Linked DNA regions of Xenopus tropicalis. The protein of the gene in region 1 interacts with the protein of each later gene in a pairwise test. Links are inferred from orthologs where the notes say so. Each region holds a gene or a part of one and is shown in the gene's direction. Other genes may lie near its edges. The genes, in order: tacc3, kiz and cib3.

The links.
Region 2: the proteins of tacc3 (region 1) and kiz interact in binary tests that used the Homo sapiens proteins (3 or more experiments, as listed by UniProt). The two-hybrid records come from large-scale screens. The link is inferred for Xenopus tropicalis from reciprocal best matches to the Homo sapiens genes TACC3 and KIZ.
Region 3: the proteins of tacc3 (region 1) and cib3 interact in binary tests that used the Homo sapiens proteins (3 or more experiments, as listed by UniProt). The two-hybrid records come from large-scale screens. The link is inferred for Xenopus tropicalis from reciprocal best matches to the Homo sapiens genes TACC3 and CIB3.

What each region holds. Positions count from the first base shown.
Region 1 is NC_030677.2:20,375,161-20,378,916, forward strand, and holds the start of tacc3 (transforming acidic coiled-coil-containing protein 3), read left to right. Parts: upstream 1-969; 5' UTR 970-1,090; intron 1,091-3,756. UniProt on the Homo sapiens protein: Plays a role in the microtubule-dependent coupling of the nucleus and the centrosome. Involved in the processes that regulate centrosome-mediated interkinetic nuclear migration (INM) of neural progenitors.
Region 2 is NC_030681.2:36,368,353-36,372,008, reverse strand, and holds part of kiz (centrosomal protein kizuna), read left to right. Parts: intron 1-2,139; coding exon 2,140-2,422; intron 2,423-3,656. UniProt on the Homo sapiens protein: Centrosomal protein required for establishing a robust mitotic centrosome architecture that can endure the forces that converge on the centrosomes during spindle formation. Required for stabilizing the expanded pericentriolar material around the centriole.
Region 3 is NC_030677.2:104,272,299-104,275,954, forward strand, and holds part of cib3 (calcium and integrin-binding family member 3), read left to right. Parts: intron 1-514; coding exon 515-626; intron 627-1,254; coding exon 1,255-1,402; intron 1,403-2,541; coding exon 2,542-2,737; coding exon of another isoform or gene 2,738-2,804; exon of another isoform or gene 2,805-2,876; intron 2,877-3,656. UniProt on the Homo sapiens protein: Acts a an auxiliary subunit of the sensory mechanoelectrical transduction (MET) channel in hair cells. Plays a role in regulating hair cell MET channel localization and function.

The sequences.
Region 1 (3,756 bases):
CACATAGTTTCGTCCAATTGTTGGACCACGTGGTGCTTGGTTGTTTAGTCAATCAGACAGATTAGAAAATTTTGGTAGAATAACAACAAAATCTGTGCTTGAATTGTGTATCTGACGATATCTTAAAGCTGGGCATACACGCACCGATAATATCGCACGAAACCTCGTTTCGTACGATATTCGGTGCGTGTATGGCAAGTTGGCGAGTCGACCGGTATCGCAGGAGGCTGCTGATATCAGTTGACTCGCAGATCGGCCAGGTCAAAAGATTTTGATCGGGCGCCATAGAAGGCAAAATCTGCTGTCAGGGCTGAATCGGCAGAAGGAGGTAGAAATCCTATTGTTTCTACCTCCTTATTTGCCGTTTCAGCCCTGAAGGTTAGTGGCGGGTCTGACGATCGCGAAAGATCGCAGATCACCATGTGTGTGGCCACCTTTAGGTGCATTTCCAGGACATCACTTTCCCTACAATTGTTGTCTGCCAATTATTTTATGTTTCGGACTTTATCCAACAATTTTATCTGAACATTTGTTGGAAGGAAACAAGAATCAGAACTTCTATGGACACCTTAATAGCACAATTATATATTCCTCACAAGAGACTTCTCAGATTCTGGCAAACACCATTTCTGCCTTACACTAAATCTAGCAGTGACTGGTGATAACCAAAAATAAGTATTTATATTAGACATATATTTATTAAACAAGTGGGAGAAAGCACAAGAACCCAGGGGAGGATACGTGGCAGGCGGGAATGAAATGAGAAGACAACAAGCAGAACAGTAAGCCATTACACAGGGAAGCGCGATCCCGCTAAAACAAAGACGTCACACACAGTCACGCCTCTCACTGTACGGGGGCGCGCAAACCCGTGTCACAGCCCGCGCTCTGTGATTGGTTCATTCGTAACTGTTCGTGACGTAGGGAGTTTTCGGCAGCTGTGATTGGACGGGTTCTTCCAAACTCAGAAATTCAAAAAAAGTACATGGTCAAAAAGCGTCTGAGGCGCAGCAGGCTTGCACAGATACCCGCCGGGGTGCATAAAGGTTTAAATAGCGCGGTGCCGGCAGCTCAGGCCTTCTTCTCGCAGGTGAGGGGATATGGCGAAGTAGTTTGTGACTGGGTTCTTATTGCTATCGGTGGGGCTGGTATACACGGGCGATGACTGACTTCTGTGTCGTGATTGTTGAGGCAAAGGGGGCGCACGTATTGTTTAGATGTTTAAGCGACGTCGGTATTTAACAATGTTCAGCGTCACAGGGGCGCAGGTCTGGATTTTGGGCAGAAAGACTATTTACTTAGGGGTTGGGGTAATGGCTTTATTACTATTTAATACACAGCGACCCCTTGGCCTTACTGCACTGCATGGTGAGGAGGAGAGGGTTGGGAACTGTAGTCTGGGAATTCTACGAACTTATACATGCAAAGGTATCCATGTCCTGTCACCTATAGCAACCAGCAGGCCTGGACTGGCAATCTGGGGGTTCAGGCAAATGCCAGAGGGGCTGCTGTAAGGTGCCATAGACACTCACTATTTATTGGGCTTATGAGGGGCTGTTTGGGCCTCTGTGTACTGGGAATGCCAGAGGGGCTGCTGTAAGATGCCATAGACACTCACTATTTATTGGGGGGCTGTTTGGGCCTCTGTGTACTGAAAATCAGGCCTGGACTGGCAATCTGTGGGTTCAGGCAAATGCCAGAGGGGCTGCTGTAAGGTGCCATAGTCACTCACTATTTATTGGGGGGCTGTTTGGGCCTCTGTGTACTGAAAATCAGGCCTGGACTGGCAATCTGTGGGTTCAGGCAAATGCCAGAGGGGCTGCTGTAAGATGCCATAGACAGTCACTATTTATTGGGGGGCTGTTTGGGCCTCTGTGTACTGAAAATCAGGCCTGGACTGGCAATCTGTGGGTTCAGGCAAATGCCAGAGGGGCTGCTGTAAGATGCCATAGACACTCACTATTTATTGGGGGGCTGTTTGGGCCTCTGTGTACTGAAAAATCAGGCCTGGACTGGCAATCTGTGGGTTCAGGCAAATGCCAGAGGGGCTGCTGTAAGGTGCCATAGACACTCACTATTTATTGGGCTGGGGGGGGCTGTTTGGGCCTCTGTGTACTGAAAATCAGGCCTGGACTGGCAATCTGTGGGTTCTGGCAAATGCCAGAGGGGCTGCTGTAAGGTGCCATAGACACTCACTATTTATTGGGGGGCTGTTTGGGCCTCTGTGTACTGAAAATCAGGCCCAGACTGGCAATCTATGGGATCTGGCAAATGCCAGAGGGGCTGCTATAAGGTGCCATAGACACTCACTATTTATTGGGCTGCTGGGGGGCTGTTTGGGCCTCTGTGTACCTGAAATGCCAGGGCCTATGTTCAATCCCAGTACAGACTTGCAACCAATTGCATTTCATTTTGTTGGTATAATTAGTGCTGGGCGGTATACCGTAAAATACCGAATACAGTTTTTTTTTTTTAAAAAACGATATTCATTTTTGAAATACCCCCATACCGGTGATGATCGGGTTGCGCCCCGTGCGTACATGACGTCAGTACGCACGGGGCGCAAACAGAAGCGGCACGGGCCGCATCGCTGGCCAACTTGCTGTATGGGGGGTGGTGCTTATAAATAATAATCGTAATTATAAGGGGAAAGTGGGGGGAAAGCTTCCTGCTGGTCACAGCTGGTTACATGCTCCCTCTACTTGCGCCTCACTGGTACAAACCTCCCAAAATTGCACATTCCAAGTACAGAACTGCATGAAGCAGTGCTTCATATACCGATTTAGAACCTCTGAGGAATTGTACCAACACGAGCCTTTCCATATATTTTCAACTTTGTTCCCTGTGGATTAAATACTAATTGTCTCAATAGCAATATTTAGGGGCCCTGGCCACCAATGTTAATTGGAAAAAAAAATACCGTCAAATACCGTGATACTGATATAATTTTGAAAAATACCGTGATATAAATTTTTGGTCATACCGCCCAGCTCTAGGTATAATCCACAAAATCCACCAAAGCATTGCCACCCTGGGGGTCTAGTTATACCCTGGACTGGGGTTGTATTGCTCAGGGTGGGTGTCTGCCATCCCCGGTGCCCTATACAGGCTTTCAGACTGAATAGACAGTAGAGAACTTTTCTAAAGAGTGATTTACTGCTTGTTCATGGAGTCTGTAGGGGGGGCAGGGGATAGCTGGGAGGAGATGGTGGGTAGGTACCACCCTATGCCAGTGTGCATGAAGAACCTCATCTGAAGTTTATAAATTGGCACCTCCATTGACGTGGGTGTGGCCGACATGCTTGATATTCTTCCTGAAGCTGCAGAATTTGTGTAAAATGTTACCTGGCATCTGGGCTCCCTAGTGGAGGCTTAAGAAATCTAGAGGGTGGAGAGGATTTATCATTATTTTGAATGCTTTAATAGAAAATACCTGTTAAATGAATGCTTTAATAGAAAATACCTGTTAAAACTTGCCTTCCTGTCAATTGCACTACAGCGATACGGCGAAGGAAGGAGCAGCATCCACTGTGCGACGATCGGTTGATCGAGCCTAGCCTTCCTTCTGTATAGGAAGGAGTCAGGCTAGACTCATCAATCGTCGCACAGTGGATGCTGCTCCTTCCTTCGCCGTATCACTGTAGTGCAATTGACAGGAAGGCAAGTTTTAACAGGTATATTCTATTAAAGCATTCATTTAACAGGTATATTCTATTAAAGCATTCAAAATACTAAGTGGTTTGCAGGATAGGGCGG
Region 2 (3,656 bases), on another chromosome or scaffold:
TATTACAACTATGCCTTCAGGGCCTGTTTGCTGCAAGTGAGACCTTGAGTTGTTTGCCATTGAATCGCCCAAAATTGGGCATGAAATGTAGAATAAGCTTTATTGATAGTGACAGTGACTGACACACCCATTCTTTTTCCTCTGTCATTCTTATACTTGATCCAATCTCACACCTCTTCATCTTTCACTTTATTCAAATTTCTCTTTCTATATTTTGCATTGTTCCAATTTCTTACTTTTTTTTTACTTTAAAGGAACAGTAACACTAATAAATTAAAGAGTTTAAAAGTAATTAAAATATAATGTACTGTTGTCCTGCTCTGGTGCAACTGGTGTGTTTGCTACAGAACTGCTACTATAGTTTATATTTATAAGCTGCTGTGTATCCATGGGGGCAGCTATTCAAGCTGGAAAAAGGTACAGGTTACAAAGCAGATAACAGATAAGCTCTGTAGAATATAATTGGGTGTAATCGGTTATCTGCTGAGTAACCTGTGCCTTTTCTCCATTGAATGGCTGCCCCCATGACTCCACAGCAGCTTTGGTTATACAGGTATAGGACCCGTTATCCAGAATGCTCGGGACCAAGGGTATTCTGGATAACGGGTCTTTTTGTAATTTGGAGCTTCATACCTTAAGTGTACTAAAAAAATAATAAAATGTTAATTAAACACAATAGGATTATTTTGCATCCAGTAAGGATTTATTATATCTTAGTTGGGATTAAATACAAAGCACTGTTTTATTTTTACAGAGAAAATGGAAATCAATTTTAAAAAATCTGATTTATTTGATTAAAATGGAGTCTGTGGGAGACAGGCTTTCCGTAATTTGGAGCTTTCTGGATATCGGGTTTCCGGATAAGGGATCCCATACCTATATACACTATAGTAGGGTTTCAGAGGCAAACACGCCAGTTGCACCAGTGCAGGGTAACAGTACATTATATTGTAATTACTTTTATACACTTTAATTTTTTTGTGTTACTGTTCCTTTAAGGAATACTTCTTACTTTTTGACAGAAGACTTAACCAAATTTATATTTTAATAAGTGACCTATCTTACTGTTCAAGGAAGAAGTGTGGTAAAAGGTCTCTGTCCATTACTTTACTAATGTAACATTGCGACTTGGCCCATAATTTAGGTTGCCACATGGGACAAATATGCTCTTGTTTGGCAGCTTGTTAAACAAGCAGATCTTGTGTATGGCCAGCTTCAGACCATGCACCTTTTTCATCTGATAGTATTCCTGGCTGCCAGTATTATTAATGTATTTATACAGCTCTGTATATATAGGTGCCCTATGCATGCTGTAACAGAAAATTTGTTAATTCAACAATGATCATAATATCAAAGCTTTCACAACCAACAATCCATTCATATCTGCAAATAAGCAGACAACCATTGATTTATACACACAAAAACCTATATGCCCTTATCAATAATTATCTGTGTAACTGTGCATATAAAATGCATAAAAGCAAGCATGTTTTTTTGCATATGTTGATAGTTATGCATATAGTGTAATAGTGTAATATTTCTTCTTTCCCTAAATGCTGTTACATGTCTTTTATTATATATTTGTGCATAGTGTTTCAGTAGCAGCCTCCATACTGCTTGGCTTGACTTAGGCATCAAATACAGGTATCAGTAGCACAGTGCCATTTATTTATTTAGTAACTACAAGGTGAATTCTGTCATAGAATACATACATTACAGTGAATTACGTGACACATAACATCACTAAACACAAGTTAGGATGTATGAAATCACTGAGCACCATTTAGAAGGCTATATTTAATATAAACTTAAATTTACATTTTTTAATCTATCATATTTGTATTTTATAAGAAATAACATACTCCATCCTGTACAGTATGGGGTATATGTAGTTTCCTCAGAGTTCCTTTTCCTGAATAAAGGCCCTAAGGACCTAAATTCAAGACGTTATAAAGGTTTAATATTTGGTTATTAAAGTCAACAGCTATAATAGTATCCTATTGTCCTTAAGCCTATGACCCAAAGAAGTTTGGGTTTGAGAACCTCTGGTTTATGTCTTTTTTTTGTTTTTTGGGTTCTGGTGATGTCTTTAGGTGCTGTAAAATGAAATAATAGTGACTTTACTTTATTTTTTTACAGATACGATTGAAAGCCACCTTATCAATGAAGAAGAAGGCAATGAATGTCTCGACAGCAGCAGTGACCTTACAGTTTCTATTAGTGAATCAGAGGATGATTCCCATCCACCTGGTGAAGTCAGTGTAGAAGCCGAAAGGAATGATGGAAAAAACCCATATACAGCTTTATCCAAACAAGAGGCTTTTGTACTAAAGAATAATGAAAAAACACCTACCATACAGTACCTCCAAACAACAGAAGTAATTTCATGTGATGAGTCTTCTTCCTCCTCTACAATCAGTCAGTAAGTTTAACAAAGTCAATTTATCTTTTGCTTAAGGTTTGTGCCACGAGTAGTTTTTACACTAAGTTTTTAGAAATGAATATGGCTAGAAATGCCATATTTTATATACTGAACTTATTGAACCTGCCTAAACGTATAACAGTAATGATCCAGGCCTTCAAAGTTGTCACAGGGGATTACCCTATTGCAGTCTGTCAAAAGTGTCAGCAACACCATGCTCGCTGCGCTCTGCACTCATGCTGTTGAGAAGCTAAGCTTAGGGCAACTTTGGCAACCTTGGCAAATTGCGGCGCTGTGTATGCCATCCCACCGGGGATTTACATTCTAGCCGGTGGGATGGCATTGCGGGGAGATTAGTTGCCTGCGCCAACGGAGATTTGTCACGGCGCAATTAAGATGTAACTGATGTAACTATTAGCCCATCAAAATGTAGCATATTTTGTTACCTAAAGGGGCCGATTGACCTGATATACACCTAGAAACCTATATACACACACAGAAATTATGCTGACAAATATTTTAATTTAAAAAGAAAAAAATCAGTCTTTTCTTTCATTTCTTATTATATACCAGTAACAGGTATAGTTACTGGTATATAATAAAGGCACTATTCACTAAATGGTAGTGTGTAGGTAGTGTCCTTAATTGAAGGATCTGGGTTTTTGTAGATATCAAATTGTCTAATTCCAGGCAATGTTATTCTGTGGCTACTAAAGCAAATAAAGTGCCATCTTGTATAAAAAAAGGGCATTGACTCAAGGGATGAAAAGATAATATTGCCTCTTTATAGGTCCCTGGTAAGGCCTCACCTTGAGTATGCAGTGCAGTTTTGGGCCCTCAATCCTTAAGAAGGATATTAATGAGCTGGAGAGAGTGCAGAAACTGCAACTAAACTGGTAAAGGAGAAAGAAGATTTAAACTATGAGGTTAGACTGTCAGGGTTGCGGTTGTTTTCTCTGGAAAAAATGCGCTTGTGAGGGGAAATGATTACTCTGTACAAGTACATTAGAGGGGATTATAGGCAGATAGGGGGTGTTCTTTTTTCCCCATAAAAAGTATCAACGCACCTGAGCCCCTTCCCCCTTTAGATTAGAGGAACAGAGCTTTGTAGGGGGTTTTTCATGGTGAGAGCAGTGAGGTTGGAGAATGCCCTTCCAAGTGATGATGTAATGGCAGATTCTGTATATGCCTTTAAGAGGGGCCTGGATGAGTTCTTAAACAAGCATAGTATCAA
Region 3 (3,656 bases), about 84 Mb from region 1:
AGTGCAACAAGGTGAAGGACTGAGTGGGGTGGGTAACTGATCCCTTTGATCACAGACGATTATGATTTATTTTATGGAATCAAATATGTCTGCGTAAAATATATGGATTGATATGTATTTTTGGGAGTTCAGCAAGTGTTTATGCAAAAGGGTGGGGGGGGGGGTGCATATTTTAAGATACTTGTCTTAATAGAATAAAAAGGCTTTTATCTCCAGCCGTTTTTTACTTCATAAAATATAATGTTTGTCTCACCACTAAACGGATGAGGATGTAATAAATCTAATACTCTTGGTAAAAAAATAAACATGCATTTATAAGCATTCAAAATTACCTCTGTCTTATAGAGTGTAACCACATTTATGTTATGAAGTAATATATAAGTGATGTCAATATACTTACCAAAGTATTTTAATGCAATAAGTGTATCACTTTATACTGCAGTCAAGAGGAAAAGGTTATATAACTGAATTTCAATAACATCGACATGTGTACTCAATTTTTCTTCATATTAAGACTTTTTAACAGATACCGGGACTTGGCACCACAGCTTGTTCCAGATGACTACACAAATAAACCAGATGTGAAGATCCCTTACGAGCTCATCGGCAGTATGCCTGAGCTTAAGGTAAACCACGAGAGAAGCAACAACGGCAAAGGTTGCCAGATGTCACTCTAATCCGGTGCTGCATTAATAATGCAGAAGGTGCTAATTGGCATGACTTGGGAAGATCACTGAAGCCTAACAAAATACTTGGTGAAGTTAAAAGTTGCCTTTTGCATCTCAGTTACATTTTATTTGACCTAATCTGCACTCTGATTCACCTGTTACTTTTAGACTGAACCTTGAACACTAATAAAAAAAATTGCGGGGAAAAACATAGCTAGAAAAGGTGATACAGGTATAGGTTCTTATATGGAATGCTTGGGACCTGCGTTTTTTTAAACGATAAATAAACCCAATTGGACTGTTTGACTCTTATATGGAATTATGCAGCTTAGTTATTTTTAAAAACTAGAATTATTTGCTTAAAATGGCCTCTATAGAAGATGGCCTTGCCATAATTAAGAGCTTTCTAAATAATGGGTTTCCTATACCTGTATTTTCTCAAATGAATGTATCATAATATAACAATGTTTTCTAAAACAGAAAATATAGAATATAACAGAAACACTTTTTTTAGATTGTAAAAAATGTAACATCAATGAGGTTCCTTTTGATTTACCAAGGCTGACATCAGTCTCTTCTTCGGCAGGATAATCCTTTTCGGCAACGCATAGCTGAGGTTTTTTCAGAGGATGGAGATGGAAACATGACATTGGATGACTTCTTAGATATGTTTTCAGTACTAAGTGAAATGGCACCCAAAGACTTAAAAGCTTTCTATGCTTTTAAAATATATGGTAAGTTATGTTTTTATTGGCAGTCTTTATCATTCTGGTTGCATCTGTGGATGTTACTTTGGGGTTATGGTTTTGGCAGACAATAAGGAAAACAGATGACTGGTGCTTGATCTCCTTGAAGAAAGTGTTTATGTTGAGTAGCCCACTCACACTAGGGGGCACATTTACTAACCCACGAACGGGCCGAATGCGTCCGATTGCGTTTTTTTCGTAATGATCAGTAATTTTGCGAGTTTTTCGGCATCTTTTCGATTTTTGCGTAAAAACGCGAGTTTTTCGGCGTCTTTACGAAAGTTGTGCAAAGCCGCGATTTTTTCGTAGCGTTAAAACTTGCGCGAAACGTCGCGCCTTTTAAGTTTTAACGCTACGAAAAAGGCGCGACTTTGCGCGCAAGTGTTAACGCTACGAAAAAATCGCGACTTTGCGCAACTTTCGTAATGGCTACGAAAAACTCGCGTTTTTACGCAAAAATCGTAAAGACGCCGAAAAAATCGCAAAAAATATGAAAAAGTCGCAAAATGTTCGTTTCCAATCGGAATTTTTCCAATTCGGATTTGAAATCGTGTCTTAGTAAATCAGCCCCTAGATATATGCATACTTGTGCTCCCAGTTTGGTTCACTTTTGGTTCTGTTCTGTTGAGAAGGAATTTATGCTTTCAATTTATTATTCTTTCTGTTTTGCAAAAGTAGGGTTGGGGGGCTGGACTGTAGTCCTGAAACGCCCTCAAACTACAGCTCACCTGGCTGCGTCTCCCTGCTCCCCAATGCGTCCTCCCGCTCCCTTTTTGCCCACTCCCCACTGTGTCTTCCCGCTCCCTGCCCCCGCTATGTCCTCCGGCTCCCCTGCTGCGTCTGCAAACAGGTAGTAACCAGGGGTGAGGACACAGCGGGGGCTGGGTAAATTACCTTGGGGGACCGGATCCGACCCATGGGCCATATTTTGAGGATCCCTGCTCTAATATCTCAATTTGCAACAGTAATAAAATCACTGGTGCTACAGTTATGTAAACAATAGACCCCCAGAAAAGGTCTACAAAATGTTAAGGAATAACCCATCAGTTTTTTCATACATCTCTCTGCCTCATAAATATTCAGCTGCAATATGCCTTCCAAAAATGAGTATATTTATTTTTATTCAGATTTTAATAATGACGATTACATATGCAAGTCAGACCTAGAGAAGACACTTAACAAACTAACACGGAATGAGCTTACCCCTGAGGAAGTTTGCCTGGTGTGTGAGAAGGTGATCGATGAGGCTGATGTAGATAATGATGGAAAATTGTCACTGGAAGACTTCCAGCACATGATTGTTAGAGCTCCAGATTTCCTCAGGTACAGTACAGTCAATCTAACACATTTTGTTAAAGATCAAGGTGTCCCATGTATAGTTAAAGGGTGAGTTCACCTTTGAATTAACTTTTAGTGTGATATAGACATTGATATTCTGAGATAATTTGCAGTTTGTCTTTGTTTTTTTAGTGGTTTTTAGTTATTTAGCTTTTTGTTCAGCAGCTCTCCAGTTTGGTATTTCAGCAGCTATCTGGTTGCTAGGCTCTTATTTACCCTATGAGAGACGGGAATATGATAAGGAAAGGGCCTGCATATAAAGATAAGTAATAAAAAGTAGCACTAGTAGCCTCACAAACCAATAGTTTTTGGCTGTCGGGGTCAGTAAAAGTAAGGAAAAAAATTTAAAAACTATAAAAAATAAATAATGAAAAGATATACTACATACATAGTTGCTAGGAATAAGGCATTTTATAACATACTAAAATTTAACTTAAAGGTGAATCATCCCTTTAACTTATCTTTATTAATTTACGGATTTCCTTAAAGGAAAACTATATCCCCAAACAATGTAGCTCATGCTGTATGTAAAACCCTGCTTCATCTAAATAAACCATTTTCATAAAATATAGTTATTTAGTAGTATGTGCTATTGGGTAGTCCTTAATAGAAAATTGCCATTTTAAGAATTAAGGGCCGCCTCCTGGGATCACAGGATTCACAGTGTAGTCATTTTGGCATTTTACTGCCAATAGATTAGCCACATTAGTGCTACCTAGAACACTCTATTTATTCTGCAGAAAGCATTACCATACCTGAGTAAAGAGCCCTTGAAGCTCCCTCTGTTTGTGTGAGATTGCAGCTGCCATTTTAGCTTGGTCTCCGTAGAAGTCTGATAGTGAAGAACATGTTTACAATGCACAGAGAAGTCAGTGCAGCGTTTCTGTGAGTGCTAATTGCTGTA